4 linked regions of the Caenorhabditis elegans genome follow. The protein of the gene in region 2 interacts with the protein of the main gene of each other region in a pairwise test. Each region holds a gene or a part of one and is shown on either strand. Other genes may lie near its edges. The genes, in order: drap-1, attf-4, T27A8.2 and rpy-1.

Region 1 (7,592 bases), on a different chromosome or scaffold from region 2:
ATGATAAGTGTCTCGTATTGTTGGGAAAAAGTGAGGCGGTTTGCTGCCAATTGTACCTTAGTGATAATCAAGAGGGCGCAACTGAAAAAGCATAATCAAATGACTTCTTACCACACCTATAGGTGGTGCAAATTTATATTAAATATTAATAGCCTCGGAGTGAGAGAAACAATTTTTTTTCTAGAATGGAATGTGTGGAATTGGTTTGTGATCTGCGTACTAAAAGTGTGAAATAGAACAGTGTTTTAGGTCAAGCGGTTTAGAGTCTTTACGTCATTAGAAAAGAAGTTCCTTTTCAAACAATTTTTAATGGAAAATGAGTTAAGCTGATATAATCGGTAAGAAGATACTGGCACCGGAAAAGGCTGGCTCGTTGAGCAAAGCACAAACATAACGACAATGAGAAACAATTGAACGACATAAATGACAGACAAAACGTGCGGGGAAGTATTTAAAATCATAATGATTTGGTATTAAAGACAAAGATTTAAACATTTTGAAATTCAGCTAATACATTGTGTACAACAATTTTTTTTGGAATACGTTGATGTTTTTTTTACTGAAACTAACTTGGAACTTGTTTTTTTAACATGGTAAATATGTAGGATGAAAAGATGACACCAATTTAAAATCCAAAGTTAGAAAAATATCTTCCTTACATTTTTTTAACAGTTTTTTTGCGACCAGCCTGCATAATATTTTTTTAATATTGCAGAAAAGCTACACTTTTTTAGTTTCAGTTATTTAATTGATTTGCTTTTTTCTATGCTCCAAATTTGCTGGTCAACTCATTTTGACCATTTTGACTAATTTTTCGATAGCTTTATTATTTCTAGTTTGTTACTTTAATTCCTATTTCAAGTCATCGTCAACAATACTGACCTCCAAAGAATTGAATTTTCGATGATTTTACTATAACCTTTCAAAGAAAAATATATTGTCATCATACCCGTACAAAACTTGAACTTTTAACCATACTACACACTATTTCCCGTCAAATGGAGTTATCATCGAATTCTTCAAATTTCGACGCCGTTTTTTAATGTGACAATGAGCTAGAGGCTTATCACGGATTATTTATAGAACGCTGTGCATCAACTGATAACCGAACAGACTGAAATATTGATGAATGGGTCTAAATATGAATTGGATTTTCTCCCTATTTGCACCAAGATCGACTGTAATATGTGTAGATATTTTATTTTAAGTTGCTCTAAATGACCAGAGAGTTTAGACCAAAACGACTAAGAATATATAAATTGAGGAACATTTAGGAAAAGTAATTTATATTATTTTATTTATATTTCTTGGCATAAAATGTATTTAAATAAAAACAGTCCGTGTCCAGTTTTGAGAGATTGCACCGATTTTTTTTCTAATTAGAAAAGTGGTTTATATGTAGAGATTTTTGAACTATGCAATGATTGCAGTTGATCTGATAAATAACACACGAGTAGTCCGTGTTTCAATTTGCTGTTAGTCTTTCTGAAAACGTGGCAATTATAACCTTGAAGGATCTTTAGTGCCAAAAAACCTTTGTGTTGCTCCCCTGTAGAACACAAACTAATTGGTAATTTTTTGCTTAACAAATAAAGTTGTCATGCTCTTTAGAGGCCCAACAAAAAGGAGGGCTGATATGTGCAATTGTGGTTTTGAAAACTTTGCAGTCACGCACGGCCTGAAATTCTGGGGACAACGGGCTCACGATGTATTTAAAACATTGACGAGTTAGCTTCTTGTATTGTTTAAAATTATCCGTCTGCAACATATTAAACGATTTTCAGACATTTCCATCACCGAAAAGACATATTCGTATTATAATAGATACTGATTATCCGTAGGTAATGATAATTTGATCGTCAACGCCCTAAGGTACATCGTTGAATCACTTTTATTCATGTCTAGTTTTGATATGGAAAGTTGTTCAACTCATCATAAAGTTACGATTACCAGTGATCCAAAAGAAAGTGTGTCACAAGGTTATAACTAGAAGTGTAAGTGGGTCTGTGAAAATGTTATTTTTCTGAGAACAAGGCCATGTCCAAAGGGTTTGCAACTAAATTCAGACGGTACGCAAGATTTGAAACGTACATATCTTAATTTTCTGGAAAATTTGCTCTCTTGGCTTTAGTTTCCAACAAAGTTGGGATGGTTGAAGGCATCCACGTTTATGAAGATTTATAGAAATTTTCCAAAAAAAAAAGTGATAATCCTTACAACTAAAATTAAAGATTTAATCTCTAGAAGTAATCATTTCGCAAGTGTCTTTAACATACGAAACCCAGTCAATATCTCCATTTGCTCGAATGCTGACATGATTCAGAAATTGCTTAACTTCTTGTGGAGTCAATGGTTCTCCAATTGAAGTGAGCAATTGCAATAATGTATCTTTTTGAACATAATTATTAGATGTTATTACTTGAAATGCAGCATGGATTTGTTTCGGAGTATCATCTTTCCATTCTTCATTTTGAATTGCCAATACGACACGGGGCAGAAGGTCATCGAATGAAACTCTTCCATTTTTCTTTGCAGTTTGTTCACTGACCAATTGCAATTCCGTTTGACTGGGGTTCAATCCAAAGCTTCGGAGAACGTGACTCACATCGTCGGTCTGGAATTTCAGTTTAAGAAAGATTTAAAAGATTCAGTGGAGACATTTTAAAGATTCAGTGGATTTAAAAGATTCAGTGGAGGTCCATAATAGCCGAATATCATAATAAAACTCTCCAAAAAGTATTTCGACTTTTGAAAAATTTGAGTCAGTTTTTACCAAATTTTTCAAAAAATGTGAACTTTTTGAGATATTTCATGCATTGGCGCGGGTTTGAATCTCTAAACTGTTACAATAAAAATAACCAAAACAATACTAGAATATCGAAAACAAAGAAAACCTATAGAGATGCAAATTGAGTTTTCAACGAATATCAATAAGAAATTTTCAGCTATAGGTACAACTTTTATATTGACGACGCTCCTACTAATTGGAAGAGCCAGGAGAAACATTTAAGAGTTTATGAAGTATGAAAAATAACTTCATGCACTCGAGGCGTGTTCGCCTCTTCACTCACCCTACTGAAGGGCGCGAGGAAGGCGAGTGGGAAGGCGGGAATAGGCTCCCCGTGACGCCTACACTAGGTGGAATGTCTATTTGATCCGGTTCTTAATGATATAAATGAGTAGAAAGTTGGAGAAAAGCACCACGTGAAAAGCCAAGTTTCAACAGTAACTACAGTAATCCTCACTTCAATCAAACCATCAGAATCCTCGTCAAACATCTTGAATACATCGAAAAGACGACGTCGAATATCTTCTGAACTTCCTTTTTTGTTTAAATTGGACAAAATATTACAAACCAACAATTACAGAATCTACTTCTTCTTTTTGGCTCTCATTTTCCCCTTCTTCTTCAATGTTTAATAAATCTTCATCTTCGCTCAGATCCATAATTTAGCTGAATACTAATATAATGTAGATCGCTCTAGTTGTTGCGCGAGTTTAGTGGTCTTTTCTGTCGGAAATATACGTTTTCTGGTTGAATAATTTTTATATTAAATACTACAAAAACGGAAATTGAATTCTAAAGCATGACAAATATAAAAATGAAGAGAAAAATTGAATTAGAGAGACAAAGAGCAAAACAAGTTAAACATATGACAGAGAACATTTGGAAGGTTTAATGAAAAGCGACGAGCATCCTGATTTATGAAGGTGTGGGTCGGTAATGGTTCATATTGGGAGAACATCGAAGTGATTAAATTTTGATTTGCCAGTGAACGACAAAAAATGAATAAAACAAGAGAAATAGAGAATAGGGTAGACCCGGTGAGGATTTGTTTTTTTTTTCTTAACTTGGAGCAATAGAAAAGGAGAAATTTAGATCAGAAATGGAGGGCAACGAGACCATTGAAAAGTACACGATTAGGAGAAGAATAAAATTTCTCATAGAGAAGTGAGGATCACGGACGGCCAATAGGCAGTGCTGGAGGAGGCATCAACTCGCGATCCTTGTCTTCCTGAAAATGATAATTTTGCTTTAGATCAAAAGGATCACAGAACCGTAAATCAAATTACATCTTTAGAACATTTTGATTCTATGTCTAAACTTTTCAAATATTACCTTGGCTATATTCCTAGAAGCTTCCTCGTAGAGATCATCATCAATACATTTTTCAGGTTTTAACTTCTTTGGGCGTCCTCGCTTTGGTCTGTCTTCTCCATCACCATCAGTAGATGCTCGTTTTAATCCTGTGAGACGTTGTCCTTCAGAATCTTTTTTCGAGTATTTGAGCATTCCTAGCATACCATTTACGAGTTGAGTTGTCGGAGTGCTAGGAGAAAGTGGTACGGTGGCTGTGAGTTCTTGAACTACTGGATAATTGGATGGAATCCCTTGAAGATAAAGTGGAAGTGGTGCTGCTGGGGATTGCGGATCAACTAAATAAGGAGAAATAGTTCCATCTTCTTGTTTCAATGCTTGTTGATCCATTTGCATCATTTGCATCTGCGCATTGGCAAGAATTGCACTAGCAAAATCTGAATTTTGTTGCTCTTGGAGCATTTGCTGTCCTCTCAATGTCATGCCGGTACGTGCAGTATTCAATTCAGATGCTTGCTGTGGAAGTGCAACATCTTTGAAGACTGATTCTAGAAATGAAAAGTGTGGAGTGTTGAGAACCGCCTGCTTCATGTGTTGAGGGTTTAGCGTCTTTGAAGATGTGAATTGAGTAGCTTCTGCGGCAGCCTCAAATATATATTCAAGGTTCAAAATAACTATGACTGAGTCTTCTCACCTGTAAAAACTTCTCCGCAAAATGCTCCATTGCTCTTCCGATGCTGACAGGAACTGACTGAACCATTCTTCCGATATCCTCATCACTTTGCATAACCTTCTTTATGCGTGTTGGCTGAATTTTTGCAGTGCTGAAACGACGTCTTCGGATCACAGCAGCTGCCTGTTGCTGCTGTTGGTTGCTGCTACCTGTTGATGATGAAGCACCGGCTGATGAAGTGGATGCCAACGTTGACATTTTTTCTGAAAAATAAATTTAAATAACGATTTGATCCTAATCTGTTAATTCTTAGATATTACATCTACAAATTGTTTTAAGTCGCATATTTTTTGAAGTTTCTAGATAGTTCATGATCCAGAAATGATGCCGGATACTGACGGTTTTACCCAAAACAAATTAAGGGTTTTTGAAAATAAATAAGCTTTCATTTTAAGATTTTATGAATGTACGTTTTCCGATTATCTATAATCGAGTTTCTTTTTTGTTCCATCCACCCTAAAAGATAAGGTCAAAACTAACGAGTAGCCGATGCATAATTGACGGGTAACATCGGCACCGCAAAGCCAACATCGCTTCCTCTATTCTGATCCATCTTGTTTTCTCCTCTCTCGAAATATGTATTCTCTGGTTTCCTTCCAAAAGTGTCAGTGTCTCCGACGGAAACGTTGCTGACGAGAGAAGACGATGTTGTGGAGATTTGGAGGCACAAAATGAGAGAGAGAAAGAACGAACAACGGGTGGTTTTCGAGAGATATAGAACTATTCCGAAGACGTCATCGATGATGGGCCTGAGACTAACTGAAAGTTGGAAGCTACTGTATAATACTCTTGAGGTAAAGCGATGAAATGAGAGATTATTGAACCATGAAAGAAGGACATGATGTTTCATTCATAGAAGCTCTCTTAACAACTTTGGAAAAGACATTTAGAGCCCATGAATAATCAACGCAAACTTTTTTTTCTAAAATTAATGGTCACTATTTGATATTGATTGGAATTATTAAAATATTCTGTGCTCAGTAACAAAGGGATTCAGATAATTAGATTTTGTTATATTTCATTTCCCGTTAGAGCAACTCCGTTTCGCAACAAGTGTGTTATGTTCTATATGTTCTGTATGTACACAGCCGTTCGGGTCTCATCGATCACTATAACAATATAGATCATCACATCAGTACAACAATTGATAACAAAAAAGAGGCGTGATGGTATCTTCCTTTTTTCTATTTCTCGCTTTCATTTTGGTTATTTCATTCTTTAATGATAACGCCATTTATTCCATTCTGCGTCGTGTCGATTCGATTCGATGTCAACGCACACACACACACTTACACATCTACTGGCCAGGACTGGAGGAGAGCGCGTAAAGACGAGTGATTGAGCGCTTCGGTGAGGAGACGAGAGAATCTAAGGGAAATAGTGTATAAAGAGGAGATAGAAGGGGGAAAAACGGAGAATAGGAGCAGAAAGGCGCTGGCCGATCACACGCAGACCTCGCGTTCTTCCCTCCTTTATATACAGCGGACAAATCGGTGATTCGCAGGTCTGCGCGACTACGGTACCCGCTGCTTGTTCTGCGTCTCCACGTGTCGTTTCACTACCTTTTCCCCCTTTTATTTAGCGTGCGCCCGCGCCGCGCCGATGTTTGAGAGTCTTTGATGCAGCTGTACGGGCCGAGATGAGAGGGAAGAGAAGATGAGAGAAGCAGAGAGTTGAGGGAAAGAACATAGACTCCTCCTCCGCATACTCGATTTGTATGTTTTTGTGTGGACAGACGGACAGATGGATAGATGGCTGATTTGTCAGCTTGCCGTCGAATTATTGATTGTTCTTTTGTGAAGCAAAGTCGAGATATTGAAATGATGAAATTATCTTAACTGTTCAGTATTTGCATAAAGAATTATTGAACGGATATTTTTGCAATTGTTGCCTATGAGGTGATTGAGATCTTTTTGCGAATTTTTATTCTCCAATTTACTAGAAAAAAAACTTAGAGGCAAATTTGCGCAAACATTTTTAAGTTCAGACCAGGATGGGCGGCAAAAGAACATTTTCGGCAAATATATTGATCGACATTGATCAAGTTAAAAATTTGGCCAAATGTCTTGTGCACATTTAAAATATTTTGAAAAAAATCTACAAATGAAAGAAAATTTAATTCGTACAGCAGTGAAGTTTTTGTGGCAAAAGATTTATCTAATTTTTCTTTGTATATTAACTTATAAAAATTTACAGATTTTCAGATTTTCTTCTTGGATATGAACATTTTTAGAGAATTTTCAATTTCCCAGCAATCGGCATTTTTGGAAATTGATGAATTGATGAACTTTCGATAACTCAGTATTTTCCGCAATTGTTTAACTGTCAAAATAGCGAAATTGGAATTGTCGCCCAGCTGGTTCAGACTACTTAGAATTAATAGAAAATGTGATATCTTTTCAGAAAAAAAAATCAGAAATTCAGTCGACGATTGAATTCAACATTGTTTTTCGGAAAGAACGAAATTGAACACGAATTTACTATTTAATTATGCAGAGTTTTTTAGTTTATCGATTTTCAATATTAAATTTTAACCAATAAAAGAACTCACCAGTGACAATTGGCTGCTGCTGAAGTCTCAAATGGCTTTCACGTCGTCGAAGTATCTGAAATATTACTAAATTTTTATAAATTAAGAGAATTGTAGAATAAATGAAAGTAGACAAGAGAAAAAACAAAATAATTCTGATTTAAACGTCCCGCATTTCAAAAACTCGAAAACTATGCAAGCACGCTCTATAGACGCTCATTCAAACCAAT
Region 2 (9,422 bases):
CTCCCTCCAGCTATATACAACCCTATGCTGCGTCTCTTCGTCCTGCCCACTGTCTCCCTATTTTTGTTGAAAATTTTTTTTCAACAAGCGAAATGTATAAATAATATCATATTTTTCCACTCGCCCGCACCCCGCCCCCTTCGACGCATTTTTCTCATTTTACGATTTTGAGAGAAAACATTTCTATTTATTTTCATTTTTTGTGGAAAATGTAATTGCTTTTTTTTCATTCTGTAAATTTGAGATTTAAAATTCAAAATATTTTTAATTTAATTATTTCTACTTCTTTTTCAAAAACTGTCAAGGCATTCATTTGGTAGGACGGCAAAAGGGGTGTAATTAGAAAATTGAATTTTTCAATTTCAAAAAAAAAACTTGGGAAAAAAATCTGCGGAAAGTGGTGGAGGGTAAAAACCTGTTTTTGATCTATTCAATTGATTCAATGCTGCAATACAATAATACACAATTTTTAACTGAAAATTGTAAATAAATGTGAATGAGGAGGTTGCGGGCGCACCGGCCTTGAGAGAGGTTATGGGAGTGAAGATGAAGAAAAGTTTTATTTGATTTTCAATGTTTTAATGTTTATTATAGACCTATTTTTTAGTTTTTTATAAAAATATCCTGATTAGACTCCTCCAATTTTCTTCATATCTTAATTTTTAAAAAGTTTCATTAAATAAAGAATCCCCGATTGCCAAAAGCCTCCTTCTGAAACTCCAAGTCTCTCCAATTCTGGCATTATTAATTTAAATGCATAAAATCAAAATTTCTGGAAAAATATATTAAAATTGGATGCACTTTTGTGCTCTTTTCCATTAATTTAACCCATTCTTTTATTTATTAGTTATCGCCTTCTGTCGTGTGTATGTGTGTGTCCAAAACCCTTGCCTCTCTTTCTCTTTCAACCCAAAATGCGTCCATAAAATGTTTGAATGAATTAATGAAATGGGGAGTCGTTTACTACGCTGCGTCTCCTTTAAATCACTTGATCTCTCATTTTCTCTTATATATTTCCAAATCATAAGAAATTTTGAAATATATAGAAATTGAATGACAGAGAGAGAGAGAGAGTAAGAGTAAGAGCAGATGTTTGGCAGTCAGACAACGGGGGGACCGAGGCCCACATTAAAATTGAATGAAAAATTTCGAAAAAGAAAATTTTTATTTTGCATTCACGAGTGGTAGGGGAAAAAGAGGAAACAGCGATTAAATATATAAACATTGAAAACTTTTGGGCGGGGTTTAGTGGAGCAAGTGGGAAAGCTTATGAAGATGTTTGAATTCAGAATGTGAATTTGAACGTTTGGCCTAGAAAAACCAAAACTTCGGCCAGCGATATTTTTTCTTATGTAGGCCAGGATCAGAGCATCCTTTTTTGCTACATGATATAAAAACCTAAACTTCGGGAACTAATTAATTTTTTTCAGCAAACCTTATCTACAGTTTTCTGGATGCAAGATCTTTATTTTTAAAAGAGCTGCCGAGTTCTAGTATTTCTAGACCACTACGTGTGGCAACATTCTTTCTCTTCCTATTTTTAGCTCTATATACCCCGGTTGACTTGATAGGCGAATTTAATTGAGAATTATAAATTTTCCATTTTCCAAAAAGTAAAATTCCAAATTCAAATGTTCTTTCTCCCACTCCAATATTGTAACATACAATAAAATTTAATCCTATCTCTCTTTCCTCTGTGCTTTCCATAACCTCTCTTCCATTTTGCCCGTTGGTGGCAGGCGATGGGCGGGTTTGACATCGTCCTTTAAGAATAATAAAATGTGTCATTTGGTGCCCTCTTTATCTCTATTTCTCTATTCCTCTCTAACTCTCGTTTACAAAACGCCACCTGCTCTCTCTTTCTCTTCATTTGACCCCTCTACTCCCAACACCCAAACAGACACCATCCTTTGTTCCGTTTTTTTTGGTTTTTTGATGGTGGACAGTGGTGATGGACATTTCGTTTTACTCCATGTTTTATTTTATTCTAATGTGCTATGTGTGCAACCAACATCTGCCTTCCACCGGTATAATGAGATTTTGACTAGGGAAGGGTCAACTCATGGTCACGTTGGCGACTCTTTTGGGACTTTTGAGTGAACATTTCTAAATTGTAGATTTTTCGCTATGGCCAGTTGTCAACCCTAAAAATTGGGATTTTCATGGTTTTTAAGGTACTGTTTTTTTCATGCAATATTTCAAATTCAATTATCTACAAACAAAAATATTTTCTGGAAAATATTCAACTGAAAAGCCAGCTGATATTTTCCAGCATTTTGTCAGTTGATAACTTTTTTCTAGCATCACAAAGTTATGATAATTTAAAGACTCTCCACACTTCCAACAGAGGTAGCAAAGAAACGAAAAGCTCTCGCTCAATAGGGTGCTGAGAAGCTAGACTCTGCACTCTCTTTGCAATTCCAGTTAGGAAATTTATAACTAACTAAAAATTGGCAAAAAATATTTTAATATTCTGAATTTATAACGAACTTTTGGCTTCTGGGGTAGTCACTTTGAAAGCTACATTTTGACGCGCCTTTTTTAAACGCCTTTTCGAAAATTTTATTTCAAAATTCGTTTAGTCTTCAGAATACAATATGATTCTGACATTTTTGGCAGAAAATTACATTTTTCACACTCCGTGGGAGGTCTATAAATTCGTTTTATGTTAATCGTGGCCAGTTAAAATTTTCAGCGCGTGCGCCTTGAAACTTTATTTTTCAAAAAAAAAACTTTTCCCCCCGATTACGCCTTCCCCAATTCTCGCCTATTTTGTTACACAAATTTAATTAAAATTTTTTCTAAAATTTTCATTATTTTCTCTTTCCCTCTCTCTTTTTCTGCAAAACCCACCTAGAAAACAATTTATGTGAAATTAAATTGTTATTTACTGCGCAACCGGAAAAATAAAATAAAATTTAAAAATTTGTAAAATGCGAAATCAGCAATTCAAGTATCTCTCTCCCTCTCTTTCTGGTGTCCTCGTCATCCACTACCAGCCACAAAAATAAAAAAAGAATTTCGCATTTTTTATGTGATTCAGAGAAGTGTCTCCCGTATTCGAGTACTATTTTCGAGTTTTGCAATACATCTTATCAAAAATATATGTTTTGGGGTGAAACGGGAAAATAGAAAGAGAGGGACAAGTGAGAGAGCAGAATTTAATATTTTTGATGACTTTTTCAAACAAATTTTTTTTGTTGAAAACTTTTTCCCTCACTTTTTCACATTTCTTATCATTCTTCTTCGCTTTCTCGAAATTTAATTTCATTTTTTAAACGCATTATCAATATGTTATACTTAATATTTCAGATCAACTCAGATGATGCTCCAACCGCCAACTTTAACGCCGAATGCGAATGGTGAAGAGTTCAGAGGATCCGTCAGTACAGATCGTAGTTCAGCTTCTCCTTCCAACATTGACGTGAGTTTGGATTTTCATCGTTTTGATGTGAAAAAAGAACACTATAAAAAATTACAAGACATATAAAAAAATTTTACTGTATGTCTTTTTTCAAACTTGTTCCCATGTCTTACATATTTAAAAACTATACATTAAGCTTGGAGAGAGGTTCAAAATTTTTGAATGTCTGAAAACCTACATGGGCGACCTCTAAAATTTCTAGACTTTAACAACAAAAAAATTGTGTTCTAAAAAAATTTCGCAGTTTCAAAGATGTAACGCAAATACATATATTACACATTTCTCAATCTTTTCTCTTGTTTTCGCACTCGTTTTGCCCGCCTCCCTCATTCATTTTCACAATTTCTCTCTCGTTTATTTTTTGCCTCAAACATCTCAAGATGATTTTTTATTTATTTCGAAGAAACTCGCAATTTCATTTTTTTCAACATTTTTGCCTCGCTCGTTAAATGTAAGAGAAATAGACATATTTTTCGATATGTATTGAAAAAATTGAGGTGAGAGTGAGAGCGATGAAAATGTGCTAATTCAGAAGGCAAACAACTTTTTTTTTCGATATAAAATTTATGAAACATTTTTTTTCGTTTTCCATATTTAGAAGTGCTTTTGGAAAAGGTTTAGTTTTGCCTTTATGCTCACTTTGAAATAAAATTTGCCGCTGTGGGACTCTGTGGGACTCGGAACCACACATATTTTGTTTTCCCGCTCTTTCTCTCCCTTTTTTCTGTTTAACAAAACCTTTTCAAAATAAAAAAAAGAGCACAATTTTCTTTTGGTTTTTTTTTGCGTTGTCCCCACAAGAATTTTATTATTTTATTATCTACACATTACACGATAGAAAATAAAACGTAGCGAAAATATTATCAGTTATCGGAATCGTTAAAATTATTGAAAAATTATAGATGAAAAAAATTCTTCTTCTTTTTCTTTGATAATGATAGGAATTAACAGAAAATTTCAATTTAATGATGATTGTTAGATGCTCGCGGAGCACACGACAATTCCGTAAAAGTGCGCGAACAAACAAACAGACTGTTTTTTTTGTTGAAAAAGCGAACTTTTCCTCCTCCCCTTCTTTCAATTTGTGCTCTCAAATCATTCATTTTTCCTACAAACATAAAAAACCCAATTTCTTTCGATTTTCCGTATTTTTTATGGCGCTCTTCTAAAACCGCACTATTTCTTTTCCATTTTTTTTCAATCAAATATTTATATATTTTTTTATTTATTTTGAGAAGGAAAACGGACAGGGGGGAAGGCGAGGTGGTGGTTGAGCCAGCAGCCCGCTCCCTCTCCTGTCACAGCAGCACCCAGCCACCACATACATACAACCCTCAATTTGAGTGAATTTGTGACCAATTTTCTAAATTTATTTGGTATTTGTTAGGTTGCTGCACGAATTGCTCGAATATAAATATATCTGATACATGAGTTTTTGCAATTCTTATTGATCAAGCTTAAGCTCTTCTCTAATTCTGAAATATTTGTAGGAGATCATGGAAGACGATGTGAATCAGAAGGACGAGGATGAAGATCTGAACTTAGTGGATCGTGTCAGCAAGCTCGAGACAAATTTTGTATTCATTCAGCATCAGGTGAGTGAAAAACTATTAATAAATTATTTTATTTTCTAAATCGAGAATGAAAGAAGTAGAAAAATATATTTGCACAACAATTTCGACAAGTGCAATGTGTAATGCAACAAGTCATAGGTGTCTAGTATTTATTTTGAAAATTTCCAAAAAAAAACTCGACTAGACACAACAATAGGCTTACCGTCCGTCACACATACTATTTTTTTCGATTTTTCACCCGTGGAATTCATTTTCATTTTCATTCACAAAGTTTACATTTGACCATCTCTCTTTCCCTCTGTCGCCCTGTCTCGGGGCTCACGCATCGTATACATACCGGACAGAGGAAGCAGATTGAAGAAGAAGAAGTGAAGACAGCGATCGTCAAATAGTGTGTTTTGTGGGAGGAAATAGTAGAATGATCCAAAAATAAATTAAATGTCAACATTTATTGACGCGGAAAAATGGAAAAAAAATATAATTTTATCGTGGTGTTATGAAATTTAAAATATACATGGACCCATTGAACTGTATGTTTCCAGCTATCCTCTATCATGAACCATCTTCATGCTCCACAATGCAAGTGTACAACATGCTCCAAAGTCAACCAACCTGGAGCTGAAGAGCAGAAGAATGATACATCAGTGCTCTCGCAGCTATTCCCTAATGCTTCTGATCAGCAACTCAAGACTCTCCTCGATCTCTCGAAAATGAACAAGTTGCCATCACAAGTTGTTCACAAGGATCAACAGAACGGATCATCTTTTCTACCATCAGCAAATAAGACCTCTGAAAATCCAAAACCTATTGAACTGAAGCCTCTGAAGCTTGGACAAGGCTATCAGATGGCGAATGGTGGAGGTGGAGGCAAGATTCATACCGAAAGACTCTCAGAACCAGCGAGAAAGCAGAGCCGGAAAGTTGGATTCCCACCACCAGTTGCTTCATATTATCAGAGAAAGGAGAGCTCGAATCGTAAGTTCACTATACAACCACAGCGCAATCTAGAAACTCTAATTTTCAGCTTTGGTCCCGCCAACTCCATTGTCGTCCATCCCAAATCTGATTACAAATTCCAATGCAGTATCAGCCAACACTTCAACAGCTTCACCAGGACCCTCCTCGGAAGGAAGTGGTGATGATCATCTTGAGGCTCCAAATGAGGTGGCTCACATGCATTCTAGTACCGTACCAGCTACACCAACAACTCCAGGAGCCAACTTGTTCACTCAATGTAAGTAGATCCGCATGTTTTTTCTTAAATTTTTGCCAATTTCAATTATGCTAAAGGGAAGGAAATCTAACTTTAAGTAATTAGAGCAGTACTTGAATTATATTTTTTATCAATGCAAAACAAATTAATTTTTAATTTTTCAGCTATGGTCGATATGCTCAAACTGAATGCACAAAACGCTGCTCACTCGACAGGTTCTCCTGGATTCTTACGTGGACGTGGTCGCGGACGTCCAAAGCTTATCGGAGATGAACTTGATGCTGATCTCGTTGACTACATGGTTTCCCTGAAGAACTCAGATCCACATGGTGGCCACTTCACCGCATCTCAGGCCCTGCATATGGCTCGTCAATACATACTCGAAAGAGCTCCAGGCCTTCTCGAAGAGCATGGAGGTCATGTAAAGCTGAAGCTCACCTGGGCGATGAAGTTGGTGTCGAGAATTGGGGAACGACAGCGGGAAATCGAGCTAGGACTTCCAGCCGGAACACTGTCGAATATGGGACGAAACTTGACAAATATACCGGCTGGTGGCAATTTTATGGCTGATATGATGGCTCAGAACATCTTTTCGCAGCATATGATGATGGTGAATCAACAATTGGAAGGTGGATCTCCACCAGCATCTTCTTCATCAACTGCCACGACATCGACAGCCACGAAGACAGTGAAGCAAGAGTCGAAAAATGGACATCAGAATGAGGAAAATTTAAATGTGAAACAAGAAGGTGAGTTGTCACGGGTTCTAGTCCAACTTCACTTGAACCTTCTCTAAAATTATAATTTTCAGCCTCCACGATGCCCGAAATAATAAATATCAAAGAGCTCAATCTTCCATTCCTCAACAACTTCCTTGCCGAACTAAACGACAACAACTCGGGACTGATTGACGGTGAAATTGGTGCAGCAGGTCCATCCATGGCTGCTCTTTTTGCTCCGAACGCATAATTTTTAAAAACATTTTTTTGTTTTATTTTCTTGTTGTAACATTTTACTACTGAACCTCCATTCATCTCAAAACAGACCACCCGATTTTATGGGTATTTTTCGATATATTCTTATTGTCAATTACTTCTACTTTTTCCCTGTCATCACCTCTTCCTATATGTATCATTTTCTACACATAGGCATCACTTTCAACATGTTTTATACTTGCTTTTTTTTTTGATTTTCCAATTTTCCAATTTTCCGGCATCAACATTCACAAAACAAAATATGTTAACAAAATTCAAATTAACAGTATTCAAATAAATTATACAATCAAATATTTCCTTTTCAAGTATTATTATAGGAACGGATGAGAAGTGCCACGTAGGCAATTATGCGAATTCCGATGAACATTCCAAACAGAATTGAAATATCAAAAATTTTATGCGAAGCCGAGAAATCGATCTGTAATTTTAAACCATAAAAGCTTGAACAATGAAAGTTCCACCTCGTTGTGAAAAACTTCTTTTGAGCATTATTCGATGTTCAGAAAATAAACACCAAAAAGTCTACGATTTAGTTTGGTTAAGTAATCCAACACTGAGAAACAGATTTTTTAAATGTTCCTAAATTAATTTCTAATAATCCAAAACACTAACCGATTCCAAAACTTGATGCCCATTTTTTGGGCAGCTATCCAACGCAAACGCAGTCATTGAACTATTGAAACACTCCGGAATCACTTTGATCGAATCCCATTCATTGATCGCGAGAGCTTCATAACCGTATCTAAAAGATTTGTTATTATATAACACAAATCATCATGTTTACTTGAAATAAGAGAGCGAAGAGAGCCATTTAAAGTAAGATGGAATGGCGTCAAATGTTATGAAGAATCCTCCAAACGCCATAATTGGAACTACAAAGATTGGAAGTATTGTCATGGCTACATCAGTGTTGGCAAAGATCGTTGCGACAGCGTAAGCTGAAAAGAAAAGAATGAAGCAGCTGTCATCTCACAGGTCAAACTGAGCACAGCTTACAAATGGAAATTGCCACGTTTGTAATCAAAATTGTTACCAGCGACGCGAAGCAATAGTTCCAGAAGTTAGGATAGAGCCCAGACATCCAGTAGACAATTGTATTGTATAGAATTGGAAGGATTATGTATTGAGGGAGTTCTGCAATGTTTTTCGCAAGAAAATATGCACTCGTTCGATACACTCCATTTGCATTTTCTCGGAGTACAATTGGAAGTTCTGCCGTAATAACCTGAAGATTAATTCAAATTCTGAAATTAATTGGCTGCCTGGTACCGGAACATTTGGGAATTGAAGCATAAAGTTCATATTTCGAATGTGGTTGAACATTATTCCATTTATCGATATTATCGTAGCAGGTGTGACTGGAGTTTGGAAGAATACTATACCAGTTATAAATGCAGTTATCTATACAACAATATAAATAGTAATAAAGCAGTGACACACTTACAAGAATTTGAAGTAACCTGACAGAAAGCAGATTTGGATCCCGGATTACTGTCAGCCAAGATCTCCAAAAAAGAGCAAGAAATTGTGTCCAAAATGATGCATTGTAGCTGAAATTAAAAATTTCCGAAGTAATACTATTGAAGTAATACTATTGTTAAAGCATTTCTCCTATCTGTGATGTTTAAGCACCAAACAATGGAGTTCAAATCAAGATTCAAAAATGTGATAGGCAGGCAGGTAGGTGTAAATGATAGGCAGGCAGGTAGGTGTAATACTTTTGATGTCAAATTTTTCCAACTCACTCTTGATTAAAAAACGTTTTTGTTTTCTCAGATGTATCACTTCCTGTTACAAATGACGCTGCTCGAAGTTTGTTCGCATTTCCAATTGCTAACACCGACTGGCCCAAGTCCGTAGACAAAAATCCTTGGCGAATTTTCTTAAAACAATTTTATTGAGTTGTATATCTTTTTGATTCTCACCGAAATAGTTTTCATGGAAGTTGCTCGATCACTATCAATTACGGCCAGAGTCCTTATCAGATGATCCGCAGGATTATAGTATGCCGGGCATGGATATCCACATTTTTCAAATAACGGCACCGCTTGATCACCTGGCCCCAAGTATATGACACGCCCACAAGCCATGAGACAGACACTGGAAGATTTATGAGTTTTGGAAGAAAATATTGCAAAAGATACTTGTTGAAAAGAGAGTAGACATGACTGCTGGGTTGATGAATTGTGATAATAACTGTCATTCCATTATCCGCC
Region 3 (6,849 bases), on a different chromosome or scaffold from region 2:
AATTTTCTTCAGTTTAAAATTTGAACAGTTGAAATAGTGAAAAAGCGAAATAATATAAACATTTGAAAATAGTTCGTGATAAAATTGAATACCAATTCCATTTCAGGGATGAGCTCATTTTCGTCGAAAGTCCAGAAGGCTCGGCTGATTTGGAAAACATGGGGGATTTGACGGAGAAGGCTGGCGGCGAGGGAACGTCTGGAGCCCCAGCTTCATCATGAGCTGTTTTTGTTGATTAATTAATATTGCAACTAATTATTGGTTTGTTACTTTTCTTATTAATTTCTTTTATTACTGCTTTTTTTGTTTGTTGTTCAGATGAAGTTATTTTTGTTACGAATTCTGCTACAATCAACCAAAATTATTTGTTCTGGGGCTTTCATGAGCCAAAAATGCTTCATGTCTTTCCGGCCGCTACATTTGGACCCATTTCTACCGTACTCATGCCCGTTCGCAACGCACGCGTGAAGCATGCTTCCTTTCGCAATGCACGCGTGAAGCATGCTTGCTTTCGCTACGCGCGCCTGACGCATGCGTGACGCGCGTCTTCGCTTGGTCCTCTCAGACGCGTGAGCGAAGCGTGTGAGACGCGCCACGCATGAGCCGCGAATCACCTGTGAGGGTTCAATCCCCTCACCGAACCAAGGTGGTTCTGAGTTGCTCACATGCTCAGATAAGTGGAAGTTCGGAAGATTGATGATCAAAAAGGTGGTGTTGAATCTTATTGTTTCATTCAACATTGACAAAAGATCGAAAAATGTTTTTTTCATTTTCATAGAATTGTCTTCAACTAGGCTTATACTCTTTTCACTCTCTTTTTCTGCTTTAGTTTCCCACAGCGTTTGTCAGAAATAACAAAGTTTGTATGATTTTTTTCCAATTTTTCCGGAAGAAATTTATGTTGGTAGGAATGTTTTGAACTGAAGACAAAAACTCCTGTAGCGCGACCAAAAACGAATTTCTTGACCCAGAAACGTACCCATAATACTAAAAAAAAATTAGCAACCATTTTTAAAAAAATTCTCCCAAAATTCCGAAATTTTTATTTTTGTTTTTTTTGTGCCTGTATATACCTGTTGAAATTGGAATTCAAGCCAAAAACCCCTGTAGCGCGACCAAAAACGAATTTCTTGACCCAGAAACGTACCCATAATACTAAAAAAAAATTAGCAAACCATTCTCATAGAAACTCTCCAAAAATTTCAAAATTTTTTTTTTGCAAAAAAGTGCAGTCATATGTATGTAAAAAAATGAATTGAAGACAAAAACCCCTGTAGCGCGACCAAAAACGAATTTCTTGACCCAGAAACGAACCCATAATACTAAAAAAAAAATTAGCAATCCATTTTCATAGAAATTCTCCCAAAATTCCGAAATTTTTATTTTTGTTTTTTGTGCCTGTAAATACCTGTTGAAATTGGAATACAAGACAAAAACCCCTGTAGCGCGAACAAAAACGAATTTCTTGACCCAGAAACGTACCCATAATACTTTTAAAAAAATTAGCAATCCATTTTCATAGAAATTCTCCCAAAATTCCAAAATTTTTATTTTTGTTTTTTTGTGCCTGTTGAAATTGTTGATATTGAGGAAACCTGTTGAAATTGGAATTCAAGACAAAAACCCCTATAGCGCGACCAAAAACGAATTTCTTGACCCAGAAACGTAATACTAAAAAAAATTAGCAATCCATTTTCATAGAAATTCTCCTAAAATTCCAAAATTTTTTTTTTGCAAAAAAGTGCAATCATATGTATGTAAAAAAATGAATTGAAGACAAAAACCCCTCTAGCGCGGCTAGAATATAACTTGTAGGTCCAGAAACTTATCCATAATCTTTTAAAAAATTTAGAATCCAAATCTATGGAAACCCTACCAAAATTCCAAAATTTTTGTGAAAAAACTTCTGTCGAATACCATAGGAATTCTTCTAAACTTTGAAAATTTTCATTTTTGTTTTTTGCGCCTATATTTGGATTACCGGGGGGAGTCCCATAGTTATTGGCGGGACATTCAAATTTTCTAAGAAAAAATTTAGGCGAGAAACTCAAATTTCCTGAGAAAAAAAAACATTTTGGCAGGAAATTCAAAGATTCATAGTCCGGAACTAGATTTGCTTTCTTTCCTTGTTAGTAGTGCGGCATTTCTTTTTGCTGCAAGATATGCCGTTGTTGTTCTGCTTATTTCTGGAAAAAATTTCATTTTAATATTTTTGTGAAAATTTTCTGTTTTTCCATGTTTTTCTATGAATAACTTTTATGGAAATTTTTATGAATTGTTTAGCTTTAACAATCCTTCTAACAGTTAGGAAATGACTAAATATTATAATGGATCTTTTAAAAATTTGTGGAATTTTTTTTTATTTCGGGTCTGATCGTGCGCCAATTTTGGAGAAACCAAAACACTGTTGCTTGTTTGAATCCCAACAATATTAAAATAGGATTACTGGAAACGTGAGTCAAATTTAAAACTGAAGGTAACTTTTTTTTTGAATATTTTTATTATGATATTTGGACATTTTTAAATTTTAATGTGAACGAGTTTTAATCTTTTCCCACAGGCCGTTGTCCATCTTCAATTAAAGTTTTTTTTCATCTTTACAATCATCAATTTTATAAAACCTTCAACTATGCTCAGATATAGCCGACTCAAACTTTTCATAATTTCGAAATTCAATTTTTTTTCAATTTTTTTGTTTCCTTTTGATTTGGTCATTACGAGTTCGTTGTCGTGTCAAGATTTGACCTACGACAAGTTGGTGTTGCCTGCAATGCGTGAGTCGCGCGACAGGTCTGCCCTCGTCTTCCGCACACTATTATCGATCGATGGTTTATGGCCGTTTGCTGACATTTGAATGTGCCATTCTCTCATATCCACAGCTATACTTTTTTGTGGTTTTTTTTTTGTTATTTTTCATGTAATTTTCGCCTAACTGAATCTGACGTCTGCACGATTTAAATTTTTTCCCACTCGGCAAGTTGCCGCAATATAAGATCCAAAAAAACAAGACATTTCTGTATTTCCTTTATTATGTACGTGGCAAATAAATTTGAGAACCTTCAACTAACTAAGTAAATTTTCATTTTCAGCTACCATGACGTATTTCACTCACGAAATGAACCAAATTATGGGGCTTCATCATCCGGAAATGGCGATGCCCAAGTTCAAAATGGTCGCCCTGGTCAGTGCTGCGATGGAAGAAGCGGATGACGTGTTTCCGGAGATTGAAGTAGTTGTCAAGTGGATCACCGACTTGTTCCCGTATTACAAAGTGTTTCACGATATGTACAAATGGGAGTTTGTTAATCATGTGGCCTGGGTTCTGGACACCGAACTGTGCTTTCGTCGAGAAAGGTGAGTTTTGTGAAGTTTGTAGAAATATTTTTAACAAAAATTTGAAACATTTCAAATTCTTTTTCAAATATTATCGGAAACTGAATTTTGTTGTCAGATTTGCGTGTAGCGTTTAAAAATTGGTTTTCATATAATTTTCAACAAATTCAAGTAAATCCAGAATGTAATTACAACAAAAAATAAAAATAAAGTTCTGCTAAAAAATATCAGATAACAAGTTATATAGCCAAATCATACAATTGCTGTTCATATAATTTAGACATAAGAACCAGAACTGTGCGGCAACCGGCAACCAAGTTGCCGGTTGCCAAAAATTTGCCGAAATTTCGGCAACCAAAATTTGCCGGTTGCCAAAATTTTTTGGGTTTGGCAACTTCGGCAATTGCCGGTTGCCGCACAGCCCTGATAAGAACCCCACAATTTCTCCAAAAATTTCACCAAAATTTCTTTTTATCAGTTTTTTGGAAAAACAAAAATATGTGAATACTCATAAAAACTGTATTTTTTTGGTTTATAAATTTTGCTAAATTTAATCACTAGCACTTACTTAAGAATAACTCCAAAAAAAACTTAAGAAATAACTCCAAAAACTATTCGTATATGTTTTTTTATACTTTCAATTTGCAGAGACGTGAGATCTGGACTATGGGCTTATGAAGACGGCAACAAGGATATTCTGGATGTTGAGGAGGAGTTTCGAAAGGATATAGACGAGTTGAAGCAATATGTGGAGCATCAGGTGGAAATGGTATGTTGCCATGGAAATTTCAGTCATATTATATTAAAAATTGTTTTGCAGACGGATCTTGCTGGACGGATGTATTCGATGTCCTCAACCGGGTGATCTCTTGACAAGTTTTTCATAAAAATATTTCATTTATACATTAATTCAACTTATTCACTTTTTAGATTTTATTGAACCAATTCTGTATATAAAAAAGTTTCCAGTTCAAAACATTCCTACCAACATAAATTTCTTCCGGAAAAATTGGAAAAAAATCATACAAACTTTGTTATTTCTGACAAACGCTGTGGGAAACTAAAGCAGAAAAAGAGAGTGAAAAGAGTATAAGCCTAGTTGAAGACAATTCTATGAAAATGAAAAAAACATTTTTCGATCTTTTGTCAATGTTGAATGAAACAATAAGATTCAACACCACCTTTTTGATCATCAATCTTCCGAACTTCCACTTATCTGAGCATGTGAGCAACTCAGAACCACCTTGGTTCGGTGAGGGGATTGAACCCTCGACTGTTGACTCCACGGTCGAGTGCTTTACCACACTTGACCATGTTGCCAGCTCAGGATGAGTCACTGATTGCGTTGAGTTGGCGCCATGAAAACGTGGCGCGGTGGCGTAGAATGGCGCAATTTGTGCTGAAAAATGAACACTAAATGTGGGTAAAGTATATATTTCTAATATCAGAATTTTGCACTGATTTCAATGGGCAGCTTCAAATTGTTCAATTTTCAATCTAGCAGAAATTGGGACTTTTGCCAAAAAAAAAAATAAATCGTCAAATTCTATTTGTAAACCACGTTAAACATTATTAACTGTGAAAATGGTAAATGGTCCCATATCAGGGTGTCCCACAAGAAGATGATCTATAACGAAGTATCATAATATATCAATAAATCCAATTGACAACAGGTACTTTTGGTACACCCCTTTTGGTTGAGAAAAGATGGGGCGCAAAAAATAAAGTCATCGAATAAAAAAGTGAGACTGGCACCATTTATAAAAGTGCCGTAGCACGGCGGACAATTTGCAAAATAATTTCCAACAGCTGCAACACAGACAAATTAATATGACTTGAGGTTTTAGCAAAACTCTGTTTTTTTTTCGATACTGAGCTGTCATCAAAACTGAATTGCATTGTTTCAGATATCTATTTCAAAAGTTATTTGAGATAAGTTCAAGTCCGAGTCGGATTTAAGTTTGAAACCACTAGCTAGTCCACCTTCAAACTTTAATTTAGATCAAAAATCTTTTAAAAACAATTTTTGTGGCCACTCGCGCAGGTAGCCATCCTCCCTGCTGCTAAATTCGCTTTTAGGCGGTCACAGATATGGGAAGGGGCATCTGACTTTTAAATATAAAGTGCCATGACTCGTTTTTTTTTTTCAAATTTGCCGCAGGGAGTTGCACATTCTGTGGATAATCAATATGGTCGCTGTGGGGGGTTGTCCATATGGCCAGGGGTAAAAATCGGATAAGATGGTGCTCGTTTTTACCCGTTAAAATTTAGAAAAAAAGCAATATTTTGAAATGCTAAATTGTGTTTATTAAAACCGGTTAAACAAGACAAGGAGTGTAGCAAAAAGATAGTCTGTGAAAGCTAGCGAAACAATATAAAGCAATGTGTGTGTGTGTGTGTGTGTGAAGCCAAATCATTTTTTCCCGCCGAACAAATTTGACGTGTTCTGAAATCAAACTGGATTGCATGTAATGTAAATTTACACAAGTCATACCATCGATGAAAAGTTTTCAAACTTTTTAATGATTTCGGAAACAGATGAACAGGATGTATACGTATTCTCAACCTGAAAGTTGATTCAATTTGGGTAAGCTATAAATTATTTTTTGAATTTAGTGGGCATTATAGTTACAGACCAGGGGTGTGCGGCAAATCTCAAAATTTGCCGAGCTCGGTAAATTCGGCAAATCTCTTTTTCCAATATTTGCCGAGCTCGGCAAACGGCAAATTCGGCTATAAAAAATGTAGAAAAAAAATTTTGGTCGACTTCCGTTAGTGGCAAAAACTGAGTAATTGTCACTTTTAGACTGTAAATAAAAAATTTTCAAAAAAAAAATTGAAAAGTTTTATTATGATATTCGGTCATGTTGGGACCATAATAGTGGTTATTAACAATTTTCCCACTGGCGCTACTCCACTTTTAAACTAGAAATTTCCTTACATAATCGCAACTTGAAAATTTTGAAAGCTCATAGAACACCTATAATATTACCTTATTGTCACTCACAACACTTATCAATCCATTTGAAACTGATGTGTCCTCCTTCTTTTTGCGCTCCATTATGATCCAAACCATATTTTTCGGCTCTGGTGGCTCAGGTCCATAGATAAGCGGACCTGGCATAATCTCGTTATGAAATAGATCTCTCAGAAAAAAAATACGGGAAACGGCAATATGAAAGGAATATAAAAGGTGGAAGGTGATACATAACCATTTGTATGCAAATTTTCACAGAGCTCGGTTTTGTATAGGACAATAAAGTAAAAAAGAAACACGGTTTCGAATTCTTTTCAGTTGATAAAATGTGATAGGGGATTGGGGGTGGACAAGAGAAGACAGACAAGTTTGAAAAAAGAATCTAGAGGTTACAGTTGGAATAAAACAAAATCACCCTGCTGACGCAATTTTTGGAAGAAAAATCGAATAATAAAACGTCATACTTGTTTGTTTTTTTAAACCTTTTTTTTTTGAAAATCTGAAACAAGTATTTTTCCGCCGACTCAACTCGGTAACTC
Region 4 (8,987 bases), on a different chromosome or scaffold from region 2:
TGTGGCCTGAGAAGACAAAAAGTTTCGTGGGATCGACGCCGGCGGTGCTCAAACTGGCATTTCTTCTTCTTTTTTTCCGCTTCATATCGATCTCTAACTTCTTATCGTCTCTCTACTCTCTTTTCCTATACATTTTTTCCCTCTCTTTCTTCTGTCATCTACACACTCCTTTTTCTCTTTTCTTCTTTTTGTGCCATGGCTCACGGAGCCAAAGATGTGTGTGAGAGAAAAGAGAATAAAGTATGTGGATGGAGGTCCGAGTGTATGTGCTCTCTCTGGGAGCCCCCCGAAGAGCAGACACGATTCTCCACTACACACCCCAGTTTTCCAACCACCCCCACCAAGAACATTTTTTGTCATGGTCTCTTCTCCCTTTTTCTGTTTTTTTTCATTCCCTTCCGGTTACTTTTTTTCCGAAAATATAGGAAAGAACGCTTATTTTTTCCAATTAATTTTTCTCAAGAAGCTGCGTTTGTTGGATTTTCAAGCTCTAGCGGTTTTAATTTTTCATTAATTGCACCGAATTTTGTTATTTGAAAAACTATTTTTTTTGTTTAATATTGGACTAAAAAAGATTTTTGAATAAAAAACTATTGAAATTTAGTTTTAATCAATTGCATTTAAAAGTATCTTTAAAGTTTCGTACTCAAAATTTCCAAATTTTCTAATTCAAATTGTTCCACTGCCGATAAATTTGTAGGATCTTATTTGAAAGGCCCTTTTCAAATGGCGTAGGTTACAGAAAAATTTAGAAGTGAGCTGAAATTTTTTCTTTGTCCAAATACTTTATTGCTATATAATAGTATAATAGATAGTCAATTATTTTGAAACAGCAAACTTGCAGCCTGCACAACTTGCAGACTTTCGATTTACAGAAATTAGCCAGGCGCCCGTGGAATTCCTATTGGAAAGATAGTAATTTTTAGGCCCAAATTTTTTTACCTTTGCAATGATTTTTCAAGTCTAATTTATTCAATAAGGAATATATGAATACGAAACTGTCACCATTGAAGATCCTTTTTGCCCAACTAGCCCTTTAACGGTTCCCAAGTTCTGTAGTTTGCTCCAAATGTTCTCAATCTATCAAAAGTGCAACCTTTATCCAATTGACGAGTGTGAGTTGCTTAGTCTTCACTGACTGGAACTTTGGTGCATCCCTCAAAACAATATTACACCATTTTGCAAAAAGAACCCATTTTCTTTTTCGTTTTGAAAACCCCAAAAATCTTCGAAAATGTTGCCATCTCGTTGTATTTCTTTTTAGTTTTGAACCGTCTGTCAATCATTTCTTATCTCTGTGTCCCTTCACTTTCTATGATCTTTCCTTAATCCATGGTGGTATTTTGTTCGTCCTTTTTACTTTTCCGAAAACTCGCGTCGAATACTTTCGAGTCTTTGCAAAACCCGAAACGTTTTCCTGAAAACTAGATATTTAAAGATTCAATGAGGCGAATAATTAAAGAATGTGAGAATATTCTGCAAAAGAGAAATATAGAGAGTGAGAATGAGAGAGAAAAAGAGCAAAAAATTACTCTCTTCTTATTTTCCGCACCGTCGTCATTTCACGGACGCGGAGAAGAAGAAAGAATTTTTTGACGGATGACATTTGGCGCCCCGGTTCTACTCCACTCCTCCTCTCAATTCATCTCTTCTCAGCTCCCGGAGCCCGCCAATTAATCACTGGAGCACCCGAGTTGAAGAGAGTACGAGAGACGAAGAGACGCAGATACGGCGGTAGTGTTGATGAAACTCTTTTATTGTTCTTCTTTTTTCTCTTCTTTCGCTTCTGTGAATGTGTGGTGAGGGCCGTAAAGATTTTTCTTTAGTTTTGCAGTTTTCAGTGTGTATAATTTTGTAGTTATGGACAAGATGAATGACTTGATGCATTACCAAAAGTTTTGCAATTAGGAAAAAAAGCTATTTCAAAATTGTGTTTTTTTTTAGAAAATTATTAATAACTCTCAATTTCAAATAGTTTTTTTTCTATTTCACGACATTCAATTTATAATTGAAGTTCAAATGTAGAGTTATTTTTTTGTAAATTAATCATGTTAGTGAAACATATTTTTTTCCAACTTACAATAAACCATGGCTCACTGTTCTTGTTGATCGAAATTTTTTTTTTCATTTTTAAAATTACGTCGATATGAAAATGTAGTGCTGAAAACATCAAGACTTATTTTGAAAATATATTTGGATTTCTAAAAATATTGTTTATTTAAAATACTTCAAGTGGGGCATCCAGAGGTGGAACTTTATTCCCTTAACATTTTATTGTCGAAACTGAAATTTTCCTGATTTATTTTTTCTAAATAATCCTTTTTCATCTTCATCCTTAAAAATATTTCTAATCTAATCGGTTCTTCTCATCGTTTTCTTCCACACAATTCAATGTGTCCCAACTCTTTACCCATCTCTTCACAAAAATGTCAATTTCTGTTCAATTTCCCATGGGAGTTCGATTTTCCGTTTCCCATCCTTTTCCAAACTCGGAGAGCTTGGGGCAACTCAAGAAAAAAAACATTTGGAATACGGATTCCTTAAGATGTGCATCAAAGTACTAGACCTCCTCTTCTTCTAGATCTACTTTCTTTTTCCCCGTATTCACTTCTTTTGTCCCAAATTTCTTTTCATTCCAAATTGGATTCAGTTCCCCTGAGAAGCTCGCCTGAGCCGGCGGGTCACATTAGAGAGTACTACTCTTCTTTTTTCCCGAAAATTTCAATTTGACAGAGTGATTTCAAATAGGGACTAGTACCGAAAAAACATTTTGGGCGGAGTTGTAAACGGTGAAAAAAGTTTAAAAGTTTGAATTTATCTTGAGTTCGGACTTCCTTTCGTTCTAAAAGTATATTGCACAAACACAGGTTTTTTTCGAACTCCAAAACTTGACTTCTAGTTGAAGTATATGTTTAGTTAGTTTTCTAATAAATATAGTTCATTCTAGGACTATTCCCATATTTCCTACCTGCCATTTTTCTTGCCTACAGCAATTTTTCAGTGTCGCTGGGAACTCTTGTATATGATATACATTTCTCCCATTTTAACTTTTTGTTGAAAGTTTCTTCTATGTCATGCCAGTAAACATGCGTGTAGGCAGATAGTTTATTTTGTGCAGTTTGCACTTTTGCGCTTGCTCTGATGTTTTTCTCTCAAATTGATTTTTATTCTATCCAATTGGCATTTTCATTTCTTATCTGTTTCCCATTATCTTCCACAAATTTCCCTCTCTTTTTTCGCCTCATTTTCCGTTTCCAATCCCATCATTTTTCGTTCATTTGCTCCCCACCAATTTTTCCTCAATCGTCTCATGACCTCAAATTGATGGATCACTTTCTCACCTATATCTCTAAATCTCCATGTCTATTCATACTATCTCATCTTCATCTCGAATATCAATCAAAAGTCATCCAAGAATTCTCGTCTCATGAAAATGTCAACACAAACAAAATGTGCTTGAGCTAATTGTTTTTTGTGGGGTGGAACTTTTTGTGCAAGAGCCTGAAATAGCTAAAGCATATAAAATCTACAGTAATCCCTTCATAATTGATCCTCTGGTACTCCATCATTATTGCATGCAGACTCAGAAATGGATTCTAAAACAATTATTCATCAATTGTCCTCTTCTTTTCTTTCTTTTATTTTTCACCATGCACATTTTTCTCTTTCTGCATCGAAAGATTTATAAAATAAAAACTTCAATAAAAATTTTCCTAATTTTCAGATGAGATAGGATTGATAATTTTTATTCGTATTTCACACACACGTAGAAAAAAGAAGAGCCATCACTAAAAACTACATGATTACTTGCCGCCGGTCTGTAGGTAAGATATATTGAGCATGAAGTTTGAATTATTGAATATTATTCAGGTCAATGGGTGTTTTTGTGTGTCGCGACAACATCAATCTCATCACGAATCATCGACGATCAATGGGACAGCGGCAAGCAAAGCAACACATGCAGGTTGGTAATAGTTTTGATATGGGGAATTTTTTTTTCGGAAACTAAAATTTATGCGAACTTCTGTGATGTTTTTTAAAATGTTTTATCATTCCTGTTTGGCATTCCCCAATTTTAAACATTTATTTCTGCAGGCTGGCGTCAAACTTTATCATCAACGACATTACGCACAGGCTATCAATAAATGGAGACAGTCTCTGAACAGGTTAAAGTAAGTCTTTCAGACGACTCCTCTTCTTTTCTATAACGTCCATTTTCAGCAATGCAGAAGACCGGTTTATCACTCTCGGATACCTTGCTCAAGCTCTTTGCGACCAGGGAGAATACGAAGGAATGCTTTCATATGCTCTATCACAAATGCAGTTGGCAACCGATCAAAACGATTCAGCAATGAAATGCGAGGCATTTTTGAATCTAGCAAAAGCCTATGAACGATTAGCAGATTTCACGAAAGCCCTCCAGTATGGCAAAGCATCGTTAGAACATCCTTCGATGGATCCCAGGACGCCTGGTTATGCACATTTAAGTAAGAATTTTCAATAGGTTCTAGACAAAACTGTGGCTATTTCAGCAATAGCACTTGCACACTTAGGAATGTCCCAGTTCCAACAGTGTCTGGAAAGTTTCGAGTCAGCAATGAATGTTGCCAATGAGACATCGGATAGGTTACTCGAATTGCAAATTTGTGTTGGTCTAGGATCTCTTTTTACTCTTTTGAGGTAACCGTACAGAAATGAAAAATAACACATTTTTATTTTCAGAGATATCACTAAAGCTCTGATATTTCTTCGAAATGCTCTCGCAATTGTTCAATCTGTTACTGTTGATGATGTTCATGCAAAGTATCGTTGTTTGATACTTTATCATTTATCAGTTGCTCTAAGGATGAAAGGAAGTCTGGTTGATGCCAAGGAAGCATGCGATGTAAGTTTTTATTTAAAGTTTAAGAACTTCAAAAAGTATTGAATGATTCCAGGAAGCTTCCCAGCTAGCTGTTGAGATGGGTAATCGAGCGATCCATGCAAGATGTATGTGCAGTTTAGCAGATATTTATAGAGAATTGGGAGAGAGTGAAGCCAAAGAGACTATCACTGTGAGTAATTTTAAATTCTCAGTTATTTCAGTAAAAAAACGTTATGCTTGAAAAGTTAATAATAACAACTAACTTTCATTAAAACTTGTATTAGAAATCAATGAGTTTTTTTTTTCTATTGTTAGATAATAAACTCTTTCTTACAGAAATCCTGGGCAAGATACGAAGATGCTTATCGTGTAATGCGCGGAGCAAATGATAAAATGGGCGAAGTAAGTGGCCAAAAAACCTTCAATTATTTATTGGTACAACCAAATACCTCATAAAACCAAAAGCTCACATCCAGGTCTCAATTTCTTTTCCCATTAAATAACTTTTACGACTTTCCCATAAATCTTGAAGCTTTGTGGTTGACACAATCTCACATAGAGATCAGACAACATGAGTATATTTCTGGGGAATTGTGAGAAAATAATTTTAATAAGTTCTGAGTGTTTTTCAGGTATTAGTGCTCTCGTCAATGGCAAAAAGTGCATCTGAAAGTCGATCTCATTACACTGGACAATGTGAATGTCAAGCTATTCAATTGAATAAAAAGTGTATTGAAATTGCAAATCAGATAGGGTGCAAGGTACAAAATCGATAGGATGATTCCACAAAACTTCAAAATTTTGTTTCAGCACGTTGTCTTAAAGTGCCATCTCCGACTAGCCGAACTATATTCTCAACTGAATGATGACGATTCTGAGGAAACTGCTCGAAGAGCTGCGTCTCGGTTAACACAAGAAATGCAATTGTTTTGTAACTTCTGCGGTCAAAGATATGGATTGAAGGATGAGAGTCTTCAAGCTCTTAGGTGTTCGCATATTTTCCATGAAAAGTATGAATGAGTTTCAGAGATTCTAAAAATAAAGTTGTAATGTTTCAGATGCTTACACACGTATCTCCTACAAAGAACAGATCAAACCTGCCCGAAATGTAGATGCAGAGCTGTTTTATCGGACAATATCTCGATACGAAGTTCTATTGCTTCAACAATTGATGTTCAGAGTCCTAGCAGTAAGATTTTTATTATAAACATTTATACTTGAAAATTTATTCGAAAAAATATTAAACTATGAAGCCGAAATTTGAAGTCAACTTTTGTAGAGTATTCAGCAAAAAACATGGTAAAGAAGTTGTCCAAGTTTTAGTTCAAAGCGAACTTTTTCTTCTGAAAACTATTCTAATAGTATTTTTAAAGGTTTATTTTTTATCATTATTGAAAAAATATTTTTTGAATGTCAGCGCGTAATCAATAAACTTTAATTTCAGCGTCTTTCGCCCCACCGGGAGGTGTTGCCACTCCACTTGTCTCAGCAGCTGCCGAACTTGGAGATATCACACCACAAGCCACATTAACACGACGTTCACAACAGGACAAGATTCTTCGTGGCGCCGAGAAAGATATTGATCGAGTTGATCGAAGTCTTGCTAGGCTAAAATCACAACAATCTGCAGCGGCGAATGCATGTTCAGCAGTTGCAGTTCCGTCACCTGAAGTACCTTCAACAACGGCTTCTTGTGCTTCCGAACCGATTCTTACTGCATCGACGACATCGCAGTCACACACGCATTCGAATGCAAATCATAAACCACCACCACCTCCACGGAAACCTTGTTGCTCACAGGTAATATTATTGAAGGAGTTTAAATGATCTTTCTGAACTTTAAATTTTTTCATATGACCTTAAATTGTATTTTGAGAAATCACCTAAATTTGAATGTTTTCAGGCAGCCCTACCTCCATCATCAATAGTAGCTCTTCCTCCAGCAATGCCACTAGCAGAAGATGGTCCTCTTGTGATAACTCACACGCCTACAGTAACAGATGTTTGAAGCCTCAATACAAACTGCAATCATCCCCTCGAAATCCCTTGTTTTGTGATATCATTTATCGTTTTTTTTTAAATAGGAATCTTCAAAATTTTGAATTTCTAGTCTTCTACATTGTCACCCACCAGTTTCTTTCCTGCTCATGTTCACTTTTCAATCTTTTTTTTCAATTAATCTTTTAGAAGTTATTCTTATTTTTATTTTTGATCTCAATTCATATGTTTCAAAGTTTTAATTCTTTCCATAAAAATTTGTTTCAATTTTTGAATATGATGAAATCTTGTGCATGATAACACCCACAAGCTGAAACTTTGTGTGATAGTTGTCCATCTCATTGAGAAAAATTCTGAAAATAGATGAACCCACATGATTTTATTCTCTAAAACTTCAACATTTAACAGAAAAAAATTCAAAATCGGGGGAATTTTTAAACGGTGAAAGCAATTTTGAATTGAAAACTGTGTACGGGCTTAGGAGAACTTAAACATAGATAACCGCTGTATTTTTTAACTCCATCTTCCAATATTTGAATTCAAAACTTAACTAGCATAAAAATTTTAAAGATGACCTCTGTAAACTGTAATAATTAAAAGTTGGGCAGCAATCTTTGTATGATCTAAATCAAAATGTTATCTATATTTCAAAGAACTGTAAAGTGATAAGTTTCCAAAAAATCTTATAGTTTTTTAAGTGATTATGATTATTGTAGTCATCATAATTTCTTTAAACACTACAGACGCCTTTCAGAATAATGTCATCATTTTACCTCTTAAAATTTTAAACTTTGTCCGACAGTCTCTCAACTTCCGTCTCTAATCAAAAAAATCATTTCCTGACTTGAAAACTATAAAACCCAACGCATGAATGCACTGAGACCATTCAACTGATAACCATTATTTCCTGGCTACACAAACCTATTACTTCATACATATTCCAAAACCACCCAAGCCAGCTTGCCAAAATAGCGCGAAATTTTGAATTTTCAGATTTCCACTATATTTCCAGATATTTAATCAATCAATTTTTAAGTGAACTTCCCACCATGCACCAAAAAATTCAATGGAAAAATCGCGTTGGCTTACGAAATGACAAAGCTTCCACAAACACAGGGAGTTCTTAATTTCATTCAGAAATATCTTTACAATTCTACAAACTACAATTTTGAAGATGGGAGCACTCAAGCTATTAATGTACCATATCCAGATTCAGGTGTCTATGAAAATTACATACTTCATTATCCAGATGCTACGTGAGTTCTTATCTTGAATTTTGGTCCTAATTATTTTTTTTAATTTCAGGAGCACTGAACTTTTGGACATAAATATTGATCAATTATACAGTGAAGTTATGGTTCTGACTGACCCAAAGATTGAGAGGTACTCAATTTATTTTTATGTTTAACAGCCGGTTTTTGCAATTTAGAAGCTTGAAATGTAGACTTCTTCATTATCAAAATTTTCAGAGCATATGAATATATTCTTGAGGAACGCGATCCAGGAACTTCATCCACTAATATCCTGGTCACCGTCGGCGTTGAGTGAGTTACAATTATAACAACTATTTACATATTCCAAAGTTTTACCTTTTTAGTGATATAGCTGCATTTGATGGAAGTGCATCCAGTTATATGCATCAACTTCAACAAAAATACAATTTCCGTTCGATCGTGGTCTCGATTGGACCAAATCCAAATTACCTGGAAGTTTTGGCTGAGAGCCCAGATTGGTATTTCACTGCAACTGATTCTAACGGAAAATGGGTTGCTGAACAGATTTCAAGAATTATTTGTCATTTGTAAGCATAATTCTGAAATAACTAAAATAAATAATGTTTTATTCCAATTTTGGTTTAAATATTCATATGTGTTTGCGAGGTACAAAATACTTTTTATGAATTTAACGTTTATTTAAATTGAAACATAAACGTCGTTGAAAAGGCGGAATCGGAGACACCCTCGTTGAGTTACACGTATTAGGAAAATGTGAAAAATATACAGCTATCAAAAAATTAATAAAATTAGAATGATGTGGCACACGGTCCCGCATAATAGTCACATTCATGTTCTGGATATCTTCGGAAATTTTGTGGAGTTCTGTGATTGGATCTTCCAGTGTTCAA

Evidence for each region.
Region 1: the proteins of attf-4 (region 2) and drap-1 interact in a two-hybrid assay, tested with the Caenorhabditis elegans proteins (one large-scale study listed by BioGRID).
Region 3: the proteins of attf-4 (region 2) and T27A8.2 interact in a two-hybrid assay, tested with the Caenorhabditis elegans proteins (one large-scale study listed by BioGRID).
Region 4: the proteins of attf-4 (region 2) and rpy-1 interact in a two-hybrid assay, tested with the Caenorhabditis elegans proteins (one large-scale study listed by BioGRID).

The regions. Positions count from the first base shown.
Region 1 is NC_003283.11:9,729,958-9,737,549, reverse strand, and holds drap-1 (Transcription factor CBF/NF-Y/archaeal histone domain-containing protein), read right to left. Parts: upstream 5,592-7,592; 5' UTR 5,386-5,591; coding exon 5,313-5,385; intron 5,036-5,312; coding exon 4,794-5,035; intron 4,745-4,793; coding exon 4,121-4,744; intron 4,017-4,120; coding exon 3,960-4,016; 3' UTR 3,528-3,959; downstream 1-3,527. Other genes in the region: cal-7 (EF-hand domain-containing protein), read right to left, coding at 2,234-2,614, 3,246-3,313, 3,357-3,447.
Region 2 is NC_003281.10:6,077,251-6,086,672, forward strand, and holds attf-4 (AT hook-containing protein attf-4), read left to right. Parts: upstream 1-3,312; 5' UTR 3,313-3,325; coding exon 3,326-3,424; intron 3,425-4,914; coding exon 4,915-5,019; intron 5,020-5,540; coding exon 5,541-5,973; intron 5,974-6,022; coding exon 6,023-6,232; intron 6,233-6,375; coding exon 6,376-6,960; intron 6,961-7,022; coding exon 7,023-7,180; 3' UTR 7,181-7,498; downstream 7,499-9,422. Other genes in the region: ABC transporter ATP-binding protein/permease wht-1, read right to left, coding at 7,508-7,624, 7,819-7,948, 7,991-8,144, 8,203-8,431, 8,476-8,607, 8,651-8,756, 8,952-9,088, 9,132-9,306 and 1 more.
Region 3 is NC_003284.9:16,055,180-16,062,028, reverse strand, and holds T27A8.2 (Fork-head domain-containing protein), read left to right. Parts: upstream 1-3,083; 5' UTR 3,084-3,094; coding exon 3,095-3,354; intron 3,355-3,981; coding exon 3,982-4,102; intron 4,103-4,153; coding exon 4,154-4,198; 3' UTR 4,199-4,353; downstream 4,354-6,849. Other genes in the region: T27A8.7 (uncharacterized protein), read right to left, coding at 5,747-5,779, 5,828-5,899, 6,326-6,409.
Region 4 is NC_003280.10:6,700,381-6,709,367, reverse strand, and holds rpy-1 (43 kDa receptor-associated protein of the synapse homolog), read left to right. Parts: upstream 1-3,724; 5' UTR 3,725-3,824; intron 3,825-3,870; 5' UTR 3,871-3,874; coding exon 3,875-3,964; intron 3,965-4,095; coding exon 4,096-4,172; intron 4,173-4,221; coding exon 4,222-4,487; intron 4,488-4,532; coding exon 4,533-4,680; intron 4,681-4,722; coding exon 4,723-4,885; intron 4,886-4,937; coding exon 4,938-5,054; intron 5,055-5,200; coding exon 5,201-5,266; intron 5,267-5,496; coding exon 5,497-5,625; intron 5,626-5,674; coding exon 5,675-5,874; intron 5,875-5,922; coding exon 5,923-6,053; intron 6,054-6,308; coding exon 6,309-6,664; intron 6,665-6,767; coding exon 6,768-6,872; 3' UTR 6,873-7,135; downstream 7,136-8,987. Other genes in the region: C18H9.6 (uncharacterized protein), read left to right, coding at 7,955-8,118, 8,168-8,245, 8,332-8,406, 8,460-8,667; C18H9.1 (uncharacterized protein), read right to left, coding at 8,886-8,987.